Struthio camelus: one gene and its partner. The protein of the gene in region 2 interacts with the protein of the main gene of each other region in a biochemical or structural test. Links are inferred from orthologs where the notes say so. Each region holds a gene or a part of one and is shown on either strand. Other genes may lie near its edges.

Region 1 (8,658 bases), on a different chromosome or scaffold from region 2:
TACAGCGTTTGGCAAGCTCATTCTGCTCGGAGCAGAGCAGCCCTTCTGTCCTACCAGTAGGGAGAGAAGGCTTCTCTGAGCCAGCTACGTGGAGCAGCCTGTGTTCACAGTATACAGCCTCTGAAGTGCCCCTCGTTCACATGAGTCAGCATCAGCCGAGCCGGGAGCCGCGGTGATAACGTGCTGATGTGGGCACCGCTGGCGCTGTACCACTCCCTGGATTAGACCCGTCCCCAATGAGAAGGGCTGTGTCACTTCTCCAACCTTGGCATTGTCACATAAGGTACAACCGCCAGCTGGCGAGAGGCAGTACAGCTCTCGCAGAGGGAGGTGACTCCTTGACCAGTATCACACCCCGACAGAGCTGCCTCCACCCTAGGGCTTGTACCTTCAGACCAGGGCTAGATAACCTGCTGATGCCAGGTAGTGCTGCTATTCTACGGCTACGTGGTACTAAACCCACAAACCCACTCAGCTAGGCATCAGACTCACCAAGGAACGGCAGAGGAATGTTTCTTTGCCCTGTCTGTCCAGCTTTTCTATCTACCAAGCATATCCAGTTATCGTGGTTAATGGAAAGTCTGGCATGCTAAACTTTGTGTTTCAGGACTTAAATCAAGGCTCTGAGAAAAGTAAATGGCGCAAGTGAAGCCATTTCCCTACCGCAGGATTTTGCACCTTCCTGGGTATCTGAGCGACCACCGTTGGATCAAGGCTGGACGGAGCCTGGGACCGGCCCGGTCTCACATCCCTGGCGCTGACGGAGGCTGCAGCGCAACTTCCCACCTTGCTCCTGGCTCACAGCGCTGGAACTCAAAGATGCTGTTGTTTCTCCCCCTACCTCTTGGGAGAATGTTTTCGATGGGATTTTTCCCCCTCCTTAAAAAAGGACATTTCACTGTGAACTAGCAAAACCTGTTCTGGACGCACACACAGAACTGTTCACCCTCTGCGGCATTTGCAAGCAGGATTTTTTTTTGCAGGATACTATCTCGGCTCTCTCCTGCGTGTGGGCGCCTGGCAGCCTCACCCAGGGAACATGTAGACCCACAAGAATCAGATAAGTCAGGCCTTCCTAAAGGCAGGAGCTCAGGACCAAGCCCTCTTCACCGCCTGCAGCACCACCCTGCTTTGTCCGGGTCTGGAGGAGGCCGAACTGGCAGCCTCTTCTCGCTGGGAGGCAAGGGGGAAAATCCCACACCCAGAGCTGCAGCAACAGAGAGGTTCTGAGAGGGTCCTCACAGGCCTTGGTCCTGGCTACGTTTTCCTTCAATCAACAACAGACATGGAATTAACTGCAACATTTTAGGAAAAATCTTCCACATGTTCGGGTTTGGCAGCACCTAATACCTTTAAGAGAGCCAAAAAATAACTAATCCTCCTTCTCCTTCAGCCAAGGAGCCCAAGAGTGGGACTGGTGGAAGGAGGGGGAAGAAGAGTGAAAAGGGAAAGAGGAGGAGGAGAATGCAGGAAAATGGTAGAACTGGGACCAATCGCTCCCAGATCGCAGAAAAAGAATCTCTAAAGCTCAGATACTTCTGCGTCCCAGCCCCCAGGATGCTCCAAAGGAGCCAGCAGTGTCTGTCCTCTGATAGCAGACTGCCCTTCTCTACTTCCCCGCAAAGCATGCAATTCACTTCTGCAATGGTACCGTGAATATTGGCAGCAAGCCTCGCGTTAAACGCAATTTCTTCAGATTAAATCAGTTTCCAAAACCCTGCAGCAGCACGAGCTGCAAAAGAACTCAAGGTGCAATTGCACCTACACCTTATCTCCCACTTTTTAGTAATGCCCTTGAACATAGTGTTCAAATAAAGCATGTGCGTACACACACAATATACAAACAGGCCACTAAGTCAGAATATTTGGGCTACATCTCACCAAAGAGCTGCATGGGGTTTAATTTTTCCACGAGCAACTAGAACGGTTCCTTTCAAAAAGTTACATATGGAACAGAAAAACACCTGCAAAGGCCACCTGTGATTTACCTCAGTTTAAAATAATTCTCCTGGTGAAAAGTTTCAGCAGATGTTTTAGGATGACGCACTCGGACTTCAGAATCACGTTACTTTTGACTCACAGATGAGCTTTCACCTCTAATTGCCCTGCTACGACAACACAGCAGATCTGCACAAGTAAAATCCTCCAACAATGAATTTTCAGTGCAATCTTTCCCTTGGAAGTTGTAAAAAACTAGATGCAGGGGATTGCTTTTCTGTCGCAAGAAAAGGGATGGGGGAACGACTTAAGGAATTTATTATTTTGCTTTGCTGCTTAAGCAAAATGCTTTTACATGAATTACAGCCAAGAAAGGAGGCAACACACGTAGCAAACATATTTGGACCAAGCTTGGAAGTGTTGAAACATTACGCCTGGAAAACACACAGAGCCAATTGGTAGATCAGTGCAAAACTCATCTGTCTTAAATTTAAAACAGGGGCACAAAGTGCTTGTGAACTGCATTAGAGGCCAATCCCCCCGCGTTCAGCTGGAGAACTTCAGCCCACCGCCAAGCTGTGAGGAGCCATACCTAAGATGTACTTTTTACGAAGACGTAAACACGCTTTTTAGTTCAGGAGCGTCACTTTGAACTATCAATTAAGGAAGATTTTAAATGGCTTCGTTTGGCTAATAAATTACTAAAAAATTGCACCTCTGACAGTTTTTCCAGAATCGCCAGGCCTCCATTTCCTGTGCAGCGCATACACAGGCTGAGAAGCTGGACACCCTCACCCTGCAAACCGCAAAATCCTTTCCCAGTCCCAATGTCAGCTACTATCAAGGAAGCGGGAACTTCCTGAGGTTAGGCTGCAGCTGCAATCTGCCGCTGCTCTCTGCCAGGCTGGGCTTAACGAGGGCCGGTGATCCCTAGCCAAGACCTCACCTTCCGGGCCTGAATTCTGCTCCGCTGCAGAATTTCAGCCTTTCCGTCTTTATTTTTTTGCTCCTGGAATCCATACACCGACTCGACGTTTAGTCCAAGAGCATCTCACCGCCTGCAGGCTCCTTGCCGCGCTGGTCCGTCGCCGCCCTCGCGCCCTGATGCCCACGGGACGGCTGCGGCTCGCTGGCGGCGAGGTTTGGGGCGCGGAACGAGCTCCCTCCGTCCCGGGGCCGCCGTCCCTTTCTGGCGACGAGGCGCAGCGCGTCCGCGCCGTCGACCCGGAGAGAGGACTTCAAGCGTCGCTAGAAAGCGGCGGTGGCGGCCGACCCGGCGTCATCCCGAGCCCGGGACCCGCCGGTGCGACAGGAACAACCGCGTCTCCTGCCAGCTCGGCCCAGGGCTCGGGCAACCTCGGAGGGCGACGAGCGGCCCAAGCCGGGAGGCTCCGCCATCTCGCTGCGCCGGCGGCCCTCGGCCTCCTCGGGACGCGGGAGGGGCCCCGCCGGTGGCACCGAGCTGGCAGTGACAGAACCGGCACCGGACCCCGGTAGCGGGGAGGGTGTGGGGGGGGGGGAACGGGCACCGGTCCGGGATGGGAGTAACGGCGCGTTGTCAGAGGGAGCGGTACCGCCACCGGACGGCGATACCGGGGGGGGGGGCACCGGGGAATAACGGCTGGCACCAAGCTGGAGGACACGAAACCGGCAAGGAGGGCACCGGGGGGGGGTGACGGCGGGAAACGGGGCAGCACCGAAGCACGGCAGCGGGGGGGGGGGGCAGCGCGCCGGGAGGGCTGAAGGCGGCGCGGGGGCAGCGGCAGGGCGCTCACCTGGCTCGCCTTGTAGAACTGCTTCTTCAGCCCCGCCACCGACATGCTGCCGCCTCGGCCGGCCGCGCACGGACACAGCGGGCGGCGGACGCCTGGCGCGCAGCTTCCGCCGCCGCCGCCGCCGCCGCCGCGGGACCCGACCCGCCACCACTGCGCCCCCTGCCGGCCTGGCGGGGCGCCGCCACCGCCGCCGCCACCGAGAGGCGCGCGGCTAGAGCGCCGCCCTGCTGCTCGGCGGGCAGCCGCGGCGCCCCCTGCCGGCGCGGGCGGCGCAGGCCGCGAGGGAGGCGCCCCCGGGAGGAGGGGAAGGAGGTTGTGTCGCGATAGTGCCGCCCCGTCGGCTACGGTTTCCGGCCCGGCGCAGCGACGCCTTCGCCGCGGCGACGCTTCCGCGCTCTGACCGCCGCCTCAGCGGCTCCGCTCTTACCTGGCGGCGGGAGCGTCGTGGCAGCTCCGCGGTCCAGCGTAACTCTCCGCAGGAGACGGGCACAAGCCGCCTGCGCGGGAGGCAGCGCTTTCTCAGCCGCTGGTGCAAAACAGCTCTCTCCGGACCCGTAACCGGTTCCGCTCCCGCCCTGAGTGCCCTGCTACGGACCACGGGGCGCGTTTATAAACCTAAAGTGAAAAAAATACCTTCAGCGACGGAAGCGTGAAGGGTCAACTCCTACAACTGCCAGAGCGAGGCACCGCAGGGCGCTCGCTCCGTCCCTAAGGAGGGGGGACAACGCCAGCCCGCGAGCGCCATGGGGCCCGCAGCCCTCCCGACCAGGAGGGAGCTGCTCCCGGGGAGGCGCGGCGGGCAGGCTGGGCGGGGGCCGCGTCCCCAGCAGGCCCGTGGCGGGGCGCTGCGTCCCACGCCGCCTGGGGCAGGGCAGCACGGGGGGTCAGGGGGCGGCGGGCCGAGGCCTGGGAGCGAGGGCCCGTGTGGGGACAGTGTGGGGACAAGCTGTGCCCCCCTTCCCGCCCGCCCCCCCCCCCAAGGGCTGCCATAGCGCTGGGAGAGGCAAAGGGGCGACTACAACTCCCAGGAGGCTCTCCGCCTCGCAGCCGCCGCCGAACTACAACTCCCAGAGGCCCTTGCGGCAGCGTCTTCGCGCCCTCCTCCCACACCCCCGCGCGGAGGGGGCTCGCGCCGGGAAGGCGCTCGCTCATTGGCTGCCGCCGCCGCCATTTCGCGGTTTGGCTCGCGCCCCCTTGACGGCGCGGCGCGGCGGCCGGGTCTTTCCCGCTGCCCGGCGCTGCGGAATGGCCGCTCCGACCTCTCCGGAGCTTTCCCCCGGGACCGCATCGCCGCTGTCTCGGCTCCCGCTCGCTGAGCAACGAGGCCTCGAGGCCAGGCGTGAAGAGCCAGCTGGAGCCTCCCTCAGCCAGCCAATCAGCTCTGCGTAGCGGGCCAGACTGACAGCAGCCTGCGCCAATCAGCTGCGGCTATCCCGCTGGCCAATCGGAAGGCAGCGAAGGCGGGCAAGCGCCGGGCCTCCCTCCGCCGGGCGAGGCGGCGTTCTCGCGAGACTTGGGCGGCGGGCGCGGGGGCGGAGCGGGCGGAAGGGCGCGTCACGTGGGGCGCGCTCCGCCTATCGGCGCGGTGAGGCGCGGGGTCGCCCCGGCTCCCGCCAAATACGAGCGGGTCCCGCTCGGGCGGGGCGAGAGGGGACCGGGCCGGGCTGTTGCCGCTGCCGCCGGCGGAGGGAGCGGCGGGCGCCGCCGCCCCCGCCCATGGCAGGTAGGGGGGGCTGCGGGGCCCCCGGGCGGCGCCCTCGGCTCCGCCGGCCCGCTGCGGTTCCCGGCGGGTGCGCTGAGGCCTCCTGCGGTAACAAAGGGAGGCGCCGGGCCTGGTCCCGCCGCCGCTGCGGCCCGGTGGCCGCTGTCCCCCGCTCGCTGCCGCCGCTGCTACTCGGGGGGTGGCCAGGCCCTCTCAGGGCGCCGGGTCGCGGCTGGGCTTTGTGTGGCCGAGAGGTCCCGACTGCCCTGCGTGTTGGGGAGGGGCGTCGGGGCCGCTGTGGCCCGGCTGCCCCTGGGGAGCAGGTGACTAAGCAGAAACCTGTCACTGGTGTTTTTTTTTCCTTGCAGCCATGGAGTGTCGAGGCAAAGCGGTTGTTCCCCCACGGAAGCTTGTGCAAGGTAAGGCTCTGGAGCAGGTGTCTAGCACCCAGTGCGGTCTTAGTGCTTTAAAACGTGTCAGGCCTGAACTTGTACAATAGATTGTGTTTGCGATAATAAACTCTTCCCTTCTAGCTCATCAGTTTCTCTTCTTGTGTTTAAGAACTAGGTGAATATTGCAGTGTTTGTGTCCCTTCCCCCCCCTCCCCCCATGGGTTTATATGATGTGACTAAAATAGCGAAATGTTATTGTTTCAGCCCGGCTGCCTTTCAAGCGCTTGAATCCTGTACCAAAGGAAAAATATGATGCGGATTCAGAAGTCAAAAAAGTAAAGAGCTCACAAAGCAGTTTTGGACAAAACAAGGATTCCTCTCTCGATACGTCATGTGCGTCCCTGGACAATGTGGAGAATGACTGCCAGTTGGATGCAGATGTGAATTTTACTCCAAAACTTGTTAACGGAAAGGGTCCGTTAGATCACTTTATACAGAAAAACACAAAACATAACACAAATGACACTGTAATCATTATTGACCTGACAAAGGACTCTAGCCATAGACTGAGTGATGATGTGGACCATGCTAATTTAGATTCAGAAGCATCTTCATCTGTAGGTATAACTAATGGCATGCTAGAAAAAGATATAAACCAGTCGAGTTGCATGAATTCTAGTCAGAATAGCCCAATGGATGATTCAATGGAGACTGCACCGTGTGAAGCTGCGGCAAATAAAGATGAAGTTTTGGTAGGTGGAAGCCAGTCTTGTTCTGGGTTACCAGAGTGTAACAACTTGGAGAAAACAAAGATAAATCAGAGTGAACTGAAGGATGTCATATTTGAGGGGAAGATGCCTGTAGTGCTCCTGGAGGATATTATGACTGCCAAGTCTCCTCAAGTTGCTTCTCTGGATGGAAGCATCACATCAGAAAATGAGACTCTGGAATCATCCCGCGAAGGAGACTCTCTACTTACTAATTCCTCCTTAAGTTCTCACTCTGTGAGCTCACCTGAGGCACAGCCTGCTGCAGAAACAAAGAGAAACTGTAGTCCTTTAGCTGTCTCCACGCCTATTAGGAAGGTTGGTCTCTCTTCTTGGGTTGTTTTCTAAATATTATTTCATTAGAGTAGGGAGTATAGTAGGTAATAAGGCTTTCTGAGCTCACAGTGGAAAGGATGACTAGGATATTCACAAAGCTCATGGGAAGAGTCTGGAGAGCGTTGCCAACTTATTCATATAGTAACTGAACTATTACCCTTTTGAATCCTTTAAACTGTTTACCTAAAATATTTAAATCTTGCTCTTTTGAGCTGCTGGTAAGTTCGCGTAGTGTCAATGTAACTTTAAGTTCTATTATAGATTCATGCTTATAAATTGATGATGAAGTGCATGCCTCGTGACTTATCATTTTGGTAGTTAGCGCGTGGACAGTGTTCAAAAGCAGTTTTGTCTGTAAGTGATGTTTTACAACCTCCATTCTGTACTTCACGAGGCCGTTCCAGTTACTATGACAGAACGCTAATTGGAAGCGTAGCCTAGTCACTTCTAGCACAAGTCGGTGCGGATACTTCTCAAGTTCCGTGTTTCTGAAACCGGGGGGTAGAAAACAATGCTTTAAGCGAAGCTGCAGTGCCTTGAGGACCTGTAAGTTGGCAGTTGAGGACAGAGGACAAGTCAAATGAGTCTTTATCTGCTTCTCAGAATTAAGGGTACAAAACTTGTGCTGTCAGCCATCTTGATAGGTGTGCACCATTTGACATGGGCAGTTGCTTTAGGGGAAAAGTCAGGGTGTGTTCAGCGCTCCTGGGGTCATGTGATGCTTTTGGCCAGCGAAGGTTGGAGCACAAGGATGAACACCTCTAAAGCCATAGCTCTGCATGAGCTGGTGGTTTGGAATCTGAATTAGTTTCAATTTAGTGTCTCGGCTCTATGGAGAAAGTGATGAAAGCGTTGTGACTTTTGGCCCTGTACTGCAAGGGGAACTCTTAAATTAAAGAGGGCATTATCTGCGCAGATGGCTGAAAGGATCACATGACTTGAACGGTTGAGAAGTGAATAGGCTTTTCCAGAATATATCCGTTGAGATGTAAAGTGGGAGTTTCTCTTGCAGCAGGCACAATAACCTCATCCTTAAAGGCGTGGGGTAGAGCAGTCCTGGTGAATGGGCTTGGACACTCTAGGCAAGCCTGGCCTAGACTTAGTCCGGACTATTTGGCCTGTGTATTTGTTTTGCCCTAACTACATTATTAGAGGGGAAAATCAGGAAAGTGGATATTGCCCTGTGAGAGTCTGAAAACGACATATGTGGCTTGAGTAAATGAGGGTGAAGAGATGGAGCAAATTAGTAGAATAGGAAAGTATACGTGCTGAGCAGGGGTGGAACTGCTCCTGGGTTTGCGCTCGCCAGTTATGTCTTCTGGCGAGAATTGCTTTCTGCTGTTTTGAGCCTTTTGAGAAAGCTTTTCATCAGCTATCCCACTGGGATGTAATGAGAGGCTGTACCGCTTGTGAGGGAAAAATCTCATTGGCCTGAAGGAGATAGCAATAAGCTAGCTGGGGCTTGGATTTCATGATGTGACAGGTCCTCCGCTTCTTTTGCTGTGTGAATTGTCTCAAATCAACCAGTTTTAGACTGTTAAAACTTGCAGTCTTCCTCCTCTAAAATACATACTTAAACTCAAGTAGGCATGAACTATACCCAGTGTAGCAGAGCAACAAGTGCTGGACTCCTGGCATAGTGTGATAATGCAAACCAGTTACTGGCTTTGCACGGCTTGAAGTAAGGTAGAGTACCTCATGTTGTATTTGCCAAAGTGAGAAATTTACACTGTACAATTATTTGTCCT
Region 2 (9,198 bases):
ATGCCTGTTCAGACAGGAAAATAACCCATGCCATGAGGAGTCATGTTTGTTCTAGATACTATTTCCATAGCTTCCTACCACAGGAAGCTTCTACACAAAAAGAAAAAGGGCGATACATCACAGCAGGACCCCATCATTATTTTAACAGCATTGTTTTTGCAGCATATGCACATACATTCTTGTGGTAAGAAGTCTCACATTACCAGTCTCTAAACTAGTCAGCACTCAAGGGTATCAAATGGAGAAAGACCTCTTTCCTGTGACATATTTTCCATTTTCGCTTCAATTATTTCTCTAAATGCTTTTCTACAGCCTGTTTCACTCAGGCCTCTCAGCTTCTGCTCAAGGGACCCTTCATAATTTCATTTTGTAAAAGCCACAGCACCATAACATGTGGCTACGGAGCCAGCTGATGGGACACGGTGAGGTCACAAGCTCTCCTGGGATAGGAATCATTAGGAAGAGATAGAAAACAGAATTTCATTCATTTGCTCTCTGTCAGGCAGACAAACCCCCCAGTTCTCAATTGGTTTTTGTGGAGGTTCACCAAGGACGAATATATATCCCCTTCTGTTTGCTCAATCCACAAGGAAGGGACAGCATACTCTGTTTCACTGGCTGTCCTTAGAAGAACCATCCTCCGGCCCAACAGCCATACGTTATATATTACGCCACTGCAGCACTGCCTGCCTAGATCCTCTCAAAAGGATTCAGGAGGTTTGACAGCATGAAAACAGCAGAGCCAACAGGTGAACCAGAGCTTTGCTCACGTTTTCCTGAGGACCTATTTTCCCTTTCTTCTTAGTAAGCTATAGCAGAGTAAATCTTTCCCCTTAGGGGAAAGGTAGGACTCATCAAGACAAACAAGCGGGTCCTGGCCTATGACCCGGGCTTCAGTAACATAACTGTTTCTGGAAGGTCCTTCCCCTGGCACAGTTCCCAGGATCCCTGGAGGATGCTGCATGGACTGTAGGAAGGCAACTCGTGCGGACCCCCAACCCCTCTCTGGATGTGTATTTATATGCTAAAACAAAAACAACAAAAAAATCATTCCAACTCTGCTTTTCCACCAGATACAACCACTGCACCGTTTTCCTAATACATTTAGCACAGACTGCACTCGCGGCCCAAGCCTACTCTTGCACAGGTCCAAAATTTGGGGACGCTCTCAGATAAACAAGCAATTCATACAGCACCGCAGCCCCTTCCGATGGCGGGAGAGCTGTACCAGCCATTTGTTAGCAAACTGTTCCCACGGAAAGAAAAAGTGGGGGTTTGGGGAGGAGGGTGGAGGGAATGGGAGGAGAAACGATGTGCAACAGAGGTTGCCACAAATACAGCTTGCAGAAAAAGAAAAAAAGCCACACAAACACTGACCAGGTATCGCAGCAGTAGCTGCTTTTAAGACAAGTCACCAGCGCCCTGCACCTCGCTCGTAGGGGGGGGGGGGGGTCCTTGATAATTAACCCATGTATCAGGGATTGCAATTATTTAACGAGGCCGAAAAGAAGCCGGGGAACAAGCCCCTTCCCCAGGCGTCGTGTGCCTGCGCTCGCAGCCGGTAGCCAGGCCGGCGGGCTGCGATCTCCCCAGGCTGCAGAAGATGAACGTGAAGGTCACGGGAAGGGAGGGCGGCAGAACCGTGCCCGACACAAAATGGTAGCACCGGGGGATCGGGGCAGAGAGATAACCCCGTCCTTCCTGCGCCTCCTGACATGGCACCCGCGACGGAGGACAGCGGAGCCGGGCCGGGGGAGGGGGCGGAGGGGATTAAACTTAACACCTTCCACCACCGCCCCCGGCTCTCGGCGGCCACCTCCACCTCCGGGGCCGGGCAGCACCGAGGGACGCGCCGGGGCAGCTCAAAGACGCCGCTCGGGAGCGATTTCCCCGACTTTTCTGCTCCCCTCCCTTATATAACAGCTTGCGCCGGGCAGGGGCTGCCGCCGGGCACCGGCGCTCACCCCCCCCTCCGGCGGGGAGACCCGCTCCCTGCCCGCGGGGCCCGGCCCCTGCCCCTGCAGCCGGCAGCTCGGCCCCTGCACTGCCCCGTGCAGCCGGCAGCTCTGCTTCTGCCCCTGCAGCCGGCAGCTCGGCCCCTGCACTGCCCCGTGCAGCCGGCAGCTCTGCTTCTGCCCCTGCAGCCGGCAGCTCGGCCCCTGCACTGCCCCGTGCATCCAGCAGCTCTGCTTCTGCCCCTGCAGCCGGCAGCTCGGCCCCTGCACTGCCCCGTGCAACCGGCAGCTCTGCTTCTGCCCCTGCAGCCGGCAGCTCGGCCCCTGCACTGCCCCGTGCAGCCGGCAGCTCTGCTTCTGCCCCTGCAGCCGGCAGCTCGGCCCCTGCACTGCCCCGTGCAACCGGCAGCTCTGCTTCTGCCCCTGCAGCCGGCAGCTCGGCCCCTGCACTGCCCCGTGCAGCCGGCAGCTCTGCTTCTGCCCCTGCAGCCGGCAGCTCGGCCCCTGCACTGCCCCGTGCAACCGGCAGCTCTGCTTCTGCCCATGCAGCCGGCAGCTCGGCCCCTGCACTGCCCCGTGCAGCCGGCAGCTCTGCTTCTGCCCCTGCAGCCGGCAGCTCGGCCCCTGCACTGCCCCGTGCATCCAGCAGCTCTGCTTCTGCCCCTGCAGCCGGCAGCTCGGCCCCTGCACTGCCCCGTGCAACCGGCAGCTCTGCTTCTGCCCCTGCAGCCGGCAGCTCGGCCCCTGCACTGCCCCGTGCAGCCGGCAGCTCTGCTTCTGCCCCTGCAGCCGGCAGCTCGGCCCCTGCACTGCCCCGTGCAACCGGCAGCTCTGCTTCTGCCCATGCAGCCGGCAGCTCGGCCCCTGCACTGCCCCGTGCAGCCGGCAGCTCTGCTTCTGCCCCTGCAGCCGGCAGCTCGGCCCCTGCACTGCCCCGTGCATCCAGCAGCTCTGCTTCTGCCCCTGCAGCCGGCAGCTCGGCCCCTGCACTGCCCCGTGCAGCCGGCAGCTCTGCTTCTGCCCCTGCAGCCGGCAGCTCGGCCCCTGCACTGCCCCGTGCAGCCGGCAGCTCTGCTTCTGCCCCTGCAGCCGGCAGCTCGGCCCCTGCACTGCCCCATGCATCCAGCAGCTCTGCTTCTGCCCCTGCAGCCGGCAGCTCGGCCCCTGCACTGCCCCGTGCAGCCGGCAGCTCTGCTTCTGCCCATGCAGCCGGCAGCTCGGCCCATGCAGCCGGCAGCTCTGCCTCTGCCCCCTGCACTGCCCCGGGCAGCCGGTAGCTCTGCCCATACACTGCCCCGTGCATCCCGCAGCTCTGCTTCTGCCCTGTCCCGGGCAGCCGGCAGCTCGGCCCCTGCCCAGTTCCGCCCTGCCCCTGCAGCGACCAGCGCTGCCCCCGCACCGCGCTGCCCGCGCACACGCATCCAGCGGCTGCGCCCGCGCCCGCGCCCCGCGCTGCCCCCGCGCCCAGCCGCGCTGCGGCGCGCCGCCGGCCGCCCTGCCCGGGAGGCGGACGGGGCTCTCGGCGAGCACCTCACCTCCCCACGAAATTCTCCAGCACGGAGCTCTTGCCGGCGCTCTGCCCCCCCACCACGGCGATCTGCGGCAGGTCCAGGTTGGCGTTCTGGCCGATGGCGGCGAAGGCATCCTGGAGCCGGTTGACCAGGGGGATGAGGTCCTCCATCCCGCGGTTCCCCATGGCTGCGGCGCCGCACCGGCACCTCGCCCAGCGCAGCTCGCGCCGCCGCCGCTCTGCTGGCGCCGCCGAGGGGGCAGTGGTGCCGCGCCGCGGCCCCCCACGTCCTCACCGACGGGTGGCCCTGGCGGGTGGCAGCTGCCCGCTCGCTCGCACCTCGCCCGGCTCTGCGCTGCCCCGCTGCCCGCCCGGGCTCCGCTCCGCGCCGCTCGCCCGCGCCGCCGCCAGGGGGGGCTGAAGGGCGCCCCAGCCCCGGAGCACGCTGGGAGTTGTAGTGCGGGCAGGAGCGGGGGCGCCCCGCCGCGGGTTCCGCGCCATCTTGGGCTGCCCCGAGCCCCGCGGCGGGCGGCGGTGGGGGTGGCCGCCGGCAGGAGACCGCGCTCCCCGAAACTGCAGCGACCCCCCCCCCTCCGCTGCCCCAGGCCTGGGGGCCGTGCGGCCCTCGGCCTGCGCACGGCGGGGCCCGTGTACCTGTAGGGTTGAGTCGGGGTGCGTGTGCGGTTTGGTTCAGTCACCACAGGGGTACGGTGCAGTCGCTGCCCCTGTGTGGTGCGGTCTGTAGAGCTGTGCGGCTCCGCTGACGCGCTGCGCCGCTTGGTCAGTGTGCCTGTACGGTTGGGTTGACGCACCTGTGTGGCTGGGTCAGTGTGCCTGTACGCTTGGGTTGATGCACCTGTGTGGCTGGGTCGATAAACCTGTACGCTTGGGTTGATGCACCTGTGTGGCTGGGTCAGTAAACCTGTACCTGAGGGCTTTGTGCTAGGGGGGCGCTTGTGGAACGGCCAGAGCATGAGTGATGCTTGACACGGGATTAAACTGGGGGCGTGCAAAAACGCTCCTGCATTTCTGCCCCTTGACTTAATTCACTAAGGCATGGGTGAAAAACTCCCGGGTTTCTGTTCATGGCTGCAAAACAGTAGATGCTGCTGCTGTTGCTATGTTTGATTTACAGAAATGCAAAGTACTTCCATTTTATATGCTTCCATCTTCTTTTAAAAAATTAATTTGCCTACAGTAAAAAGGTAACCGGTTTTAGGCTTTTTACAGGGATTTTTTTTTTTACAAAAATATAGTGTTGAGGCCATATTTGACTTGAAAGTGTACCAGTGAAAACAAGGATGTTCAGAAAAGAAACTGATGGCTAGTGGTGACTCAGGAGAATGGAGTATGCTGCATTTCCAACACTTCTTCGTCCATGCTATCCAGGACTCTTCTTCGCAGCTTAGATACAGCTGGGGGTGGGTGGGGGGGAGGAAGAGCAGAACTGCAACAGATTTTGAGCTTTATTTTTCATTGTAAACAGCCACTCTTTAGTTATAATGGTTCTAAGCAAAATTTCACAGATCCGTCAAACGTAATCTATGCAGAAATGCCTGAGTATGCAGAGAAAAGTGGAACAACTGTTGTGAGGGGTGAATTTACCTCCCTTGCGTCAGTGAAGATGCCCAAGGAAAACGCTTTGAAAATGTCACCAGCGTTCAGGTAAGAAAGCTGAGGGAGGGAGTGAGAGCTGCTCCGTCTGTGTAGGTAACGTTATTGTAGGACGCGTGTGGGTTGTTTTGGGGGCTGTCAATGCTAATTTTTTCCTTTCAGCAAATTGCCCAGCAGATCCAAGGAGAAACAAGCTTCAGAAACCAGTGTAGACTGTGGACAAATGTCTCTGAGCATCTGCTCAGCCATTCTGGTCACTTACGTAGAAGGAACCTGCAGAAAAAACATCGCTTTTCTTTCAGAAGTTGATACCTCCCCCTTGTTAGAGGTCTCAGCAAAAAATAACAACAAAGAGTATCACAGGCTTAAAGAATGGTGTCATATTCCTCCCTGGCTCAGAGCTGATGTTGCCCCAAGAACCATGAGGGGAAGGTTACCCTTTGCCAGAGGTTGTGTAACCTGCAGTTACCCTGCACAGCTCCAATTTCAATGCAGGGGAGGTTTGCCCAGCTCCATCACTGTGATGATGTCGGATAACAGTAGCATTTGCGGCCTAGCTAGTGCCTAAAGGGCCTTGATTTCCCTTCCCTGCCCTTCCCTTCCCCCCCCACCATGAATCCATACCTGCCTTTAATATTTCCATAAAAGCAACTATATTTGATTGTGGCAATCAACATTTTTGCTAACCATCAAACTACAAATATTGGATTTCGCTCTCATCTGGCTGTTTAGCATTCTAAGCAGGTATTTTGCTCTAAGTGAGCCCGTTTCAATCCAGAAATTATCATTCAGGATCACACCGTTCTCTGGAAGAGCTAAAATTAAATTAATACATTTTTCTTCTACCAGGAAAGGTTTGTGAAGTAACACTGAAAGCACAGTATGTCAACAGCTGACATTCAAGACTGGAAAAAAACAGGATTCATGTCGTCAGTTAAGGATCTGGTGCAGCAGAAAGGCTGCAGCAGGACTTTTTTGCAGGTATTCTTTGAGGTATTCTCTCTCCAATTTTATTTTTTCCATAAAGTTGCTCTTTAGATCTCAGGAAACATATGGACCATTATTTAGGGGTTTGGTCTAATCTGCTGAGGTCTCAAGGAGCAAATGCACAGTGGAGACACTGTAGGGAGTTAATAAGGTCTTCTCCAAGTAGGGAAGAAAGGTGGAAAAGGGGAAAAAGAGGGTTAAAAATCTGCAGAAACGTTGGCAAACTTTGTATATATTTTTATCTGCAGATCGTTGTGAGCGTAACACTATAAAACGCACAAAGTACCTTCCTGCATCCCCTGTTTTGCAGATGCACTCATAAGTAAGTGAGGGTACATGTATGCCTGCAGCATTACCCCTACAAGAACTCATTAATATCGTGGAGTCTGTCTAGGCGCTCCTGCAGCAGTTGTAATCATATCCCCCAGAGAGCAGAGAGACCCAGCCTGAAGCCTCAAAGAAAGTGAGGTTTGATTTTAAGAAGCTTTAGAAACCTACACCTCCCACTGATGAAAATGAGAACTGCAGGCCCTGGGAATCCCCATCCTAAGGCCTTCCATTTTCTCTCCTGCAAGAAACTGATTTGCAAGGATATTAGCAACAGACAGGCCTTTTGATTCTGTAATACCTCCTTCCTATGACTTACTCAGCAGCTTGTAGCAGCCGTAGGAGAAAAACAATTATGTGATCATCCTTCATGGGGAAATACTGAAAAATGGGAGGGATTTGGAAATAAAAAAGACTTTACAAACCGGACCAGACAGGAAAAAAATCTATTTGTATCTACCTAAGAGAAAGACTTTTTCCTCAAGGTCTTGTAAATATTTCTGGCCATACTTTTATATGAATCCCCTAAAAATGCACCTGAGCATAAATATGTCTCTTTCCATGTATTGCTATCAACGTAAAAAACAATATAGCCAATCCTGGGAGAAGAAAGAGTAAAAAAGGTGGAATATAATTACCTTACAATTCTCCGAGTCATCTGCAAACTATTTCTCAGAGGTGCAAATGCCTCACAGTTCCTTTTGACTTGAGCCAGAGCTATGGATGTTCAGCACATTTCGCAGTGGATCATAAAGTGGATGCTCTTGGTCCTTTGGTTTTGTAAGAAATGTTTATAAATAAAGGTAAGAATGTAAACTCCAAAAACGATCAGAGGTAGGTTTGTCACTGTTTGTATCCATATTGAATATATTATATAGCTGATGAATAGTTAAAAAACAAATAAATTAACCTCCTAAGTTGTTTATAGGCAGCTTTACACGGTCATATAGATTTTTTAAGTATGTATTTTGTGCCATAGCATCATTGCCCTTTTATAGCGTCAGGTGCTAAGAAAGGTCTCCCTCAAGTGTTATTAGTTGGAAAAACTATCTGAAAAAGAAGCAGCCTTTATGTTGTGTTTTTCAAATATGTAACTTTTCTGCCTAGAATAAAACAGTGAAATACTTTCTCATTTTCTCTTCTGTTGTGAGACAGGAAATTTGCTGAACTGGTCCGAGAATCCCTCAAGAAGAGGTAAAAGAAAGTTAATCTAGTGTATAAGACACTGGGGTCAGGTTTATTTTTGGTGTAACTCTACAGAAGTCAGAATATAGTCCATCAGGAGAGGGATCTGGACATAGATGTGTGTTTAGATAAAATATTTTAAAAGCAGCAAAGCTGAGTTCACTGGGCTTTCCACATCCAAAGAGAAGATACAAAATAGGAATATATTTTGCCCTGTGAGACTGAAAATCATTGATAGAAGCTGTTTGGCCATGTGGCAAAATGGTGTAAAAGATGTATGTTAGTTTATATACTGTGGGCCTGCCCTGTCAATCAAGAAAGATTGGGAACAGGTTTCTAAAGCAATAAAGCGAAGACTGGGTGCAAGTGTCTTAATGCATAGATTATCTTGCTTTAAAATACTGTGTGCTGCTGCTTTCACATGTGTGTGAGTATGGTATTCCCACAGATAAAACAGACGTGGAAAACGGCAGAACTCCAGTAATTCACATCAGCAGTTGAGGGCAGGGCTGGTGAAACTTGAAACCAAATGTTACCTATTCTTTCAGTGGATAGACCCCAAAAGCAGAGAGGTACTGCTTTTAAGTACTTTAAAGTTCCGTAGATCTTTTTCTCCAAGGAGTTTGGGAGGTTCAAGGACATTAAGGTGGGAACTTCTGTCATATCCTAATAAAATGGGTAAGACCATCCTTGCAGATTTCAACAGAAATTGTGGGCACTTCAGTTTCTTGGTGCTCTTGTAGGCACTAAGAAAGTGAGACTGCAGAAACCAGAGACTGCTTCTGAAAATTCAGTTGTGTGCATCTCCACCAAGGGTTTGATAGCAAGTCTTCCGCAGAGGCAAAATTAAAACATACAATTGCACAGTCAGTCTTGTTCTGTAAACTGGAGATGTCTGGTTATCTGCAGACCTGACCTGGTCCATGGAACAAATCCATATAGCCCAGTAAAAACTTGACTGACTATATCACGCAATCCAGCCCCTGAATAAAAAGCAATCATATGGTCTGTCCCCTCGTCTGCCAAGAGGTCAGACGACCTTGATCTAAGTCATACAGAAGTAAACTGTAGGTTGCCTTACAGGGATCCAACAATTCAGCTAATGTTAGTCTCTTTTCTGAAGAGTACTTTCTTGGTCATTTTCCTGTATTTACCTTTTTAGTTCTCATCATTCTGTTTAATTTATTCCCATTGTCAATGAGACACAATTTTTGCTGTGTAACTATCCCTAAGCTTAGTGGATACCTAGGTTTCTGCGACTCAAAGGGGACTGAATAAGAACACTGTATTCTTTACTGTAGCACTATACATTTATGAGATTCTATGTATTCTCACATAGCGACATGTATTTACTGCATGCATGTAGATCATTTAGCAGCAAGTCGCTTAGTAAGTGAAAAGGAGGTGTTCCTTGCAGAAAAAGAACTTTCTTGTCAGGACCTGGGAGGTAAAGCTCTGTGTACCAATGCTCAGTGAGCACAGAGCTCAGACGCGCTGTTTAGCTGCCACACTAAAGCAAATAAGAAGAATCCTAGCCCCGTTTCCTGTGCTGTTGACTTACACCCCTGTGCATGACCTTCAAACTGAATGGTGTGATTAGCTAAATCTAGAGCCTTCTGT

Evidence for each region.
Region 1: the proteins of DNM1 (region 2) and SH3GL1 form a complex in vitro, tested with the Homo sapiens proteins (2 studies listed by BioGRID and IntAct, with this or other methods). The link is inferred for Struthio camelus from reciprocal best matches to the Homo sapiens genes DNM1 and SH3GL1.

What each region holds. Positions count from the first base shown.
Region 1 is NC_090967.1:4,458,299-4,466,956, forward strand, and holds the start of SH3GL1 (endophilin-A2), read right to left. Parts: upstream 3,877-8,658; 5' UTR 3,759-3,876; coding exon 3,714-3,758; exon of another isoform or gene 2,885-3,713; intron 1-2,884. Other genes in the region: CHAF1A (chromatin assembly factor 1 subunit A), read left to right, coding at 5,430-5,436, 5,784-5,834, 6,072-6,892. UniProt on the Homo sapiens protein: Implicated in endocytosis. May recruit other proteins to membranes with high curvature.
Region 2 is NC_090961.1:7,431,940-7,441,137, reverse strand, and holds the start of DNM1 (dynamin-1), read right to left. Parts: upstream 3,823-9,198; 5' UTR 3,652-3,822; coding exon 3,491-3,651; intron 1-3,490. UniProt on the Homo sapiens protein: Catalyzes the hydrolysis of GTP and utilizes this energy to mediate vesicle scission and participates in many forms of endocytosis, such as clathrin-mediated endocytosis or synaptic vesicle endocytosis as well as rapid endocytosis (RE).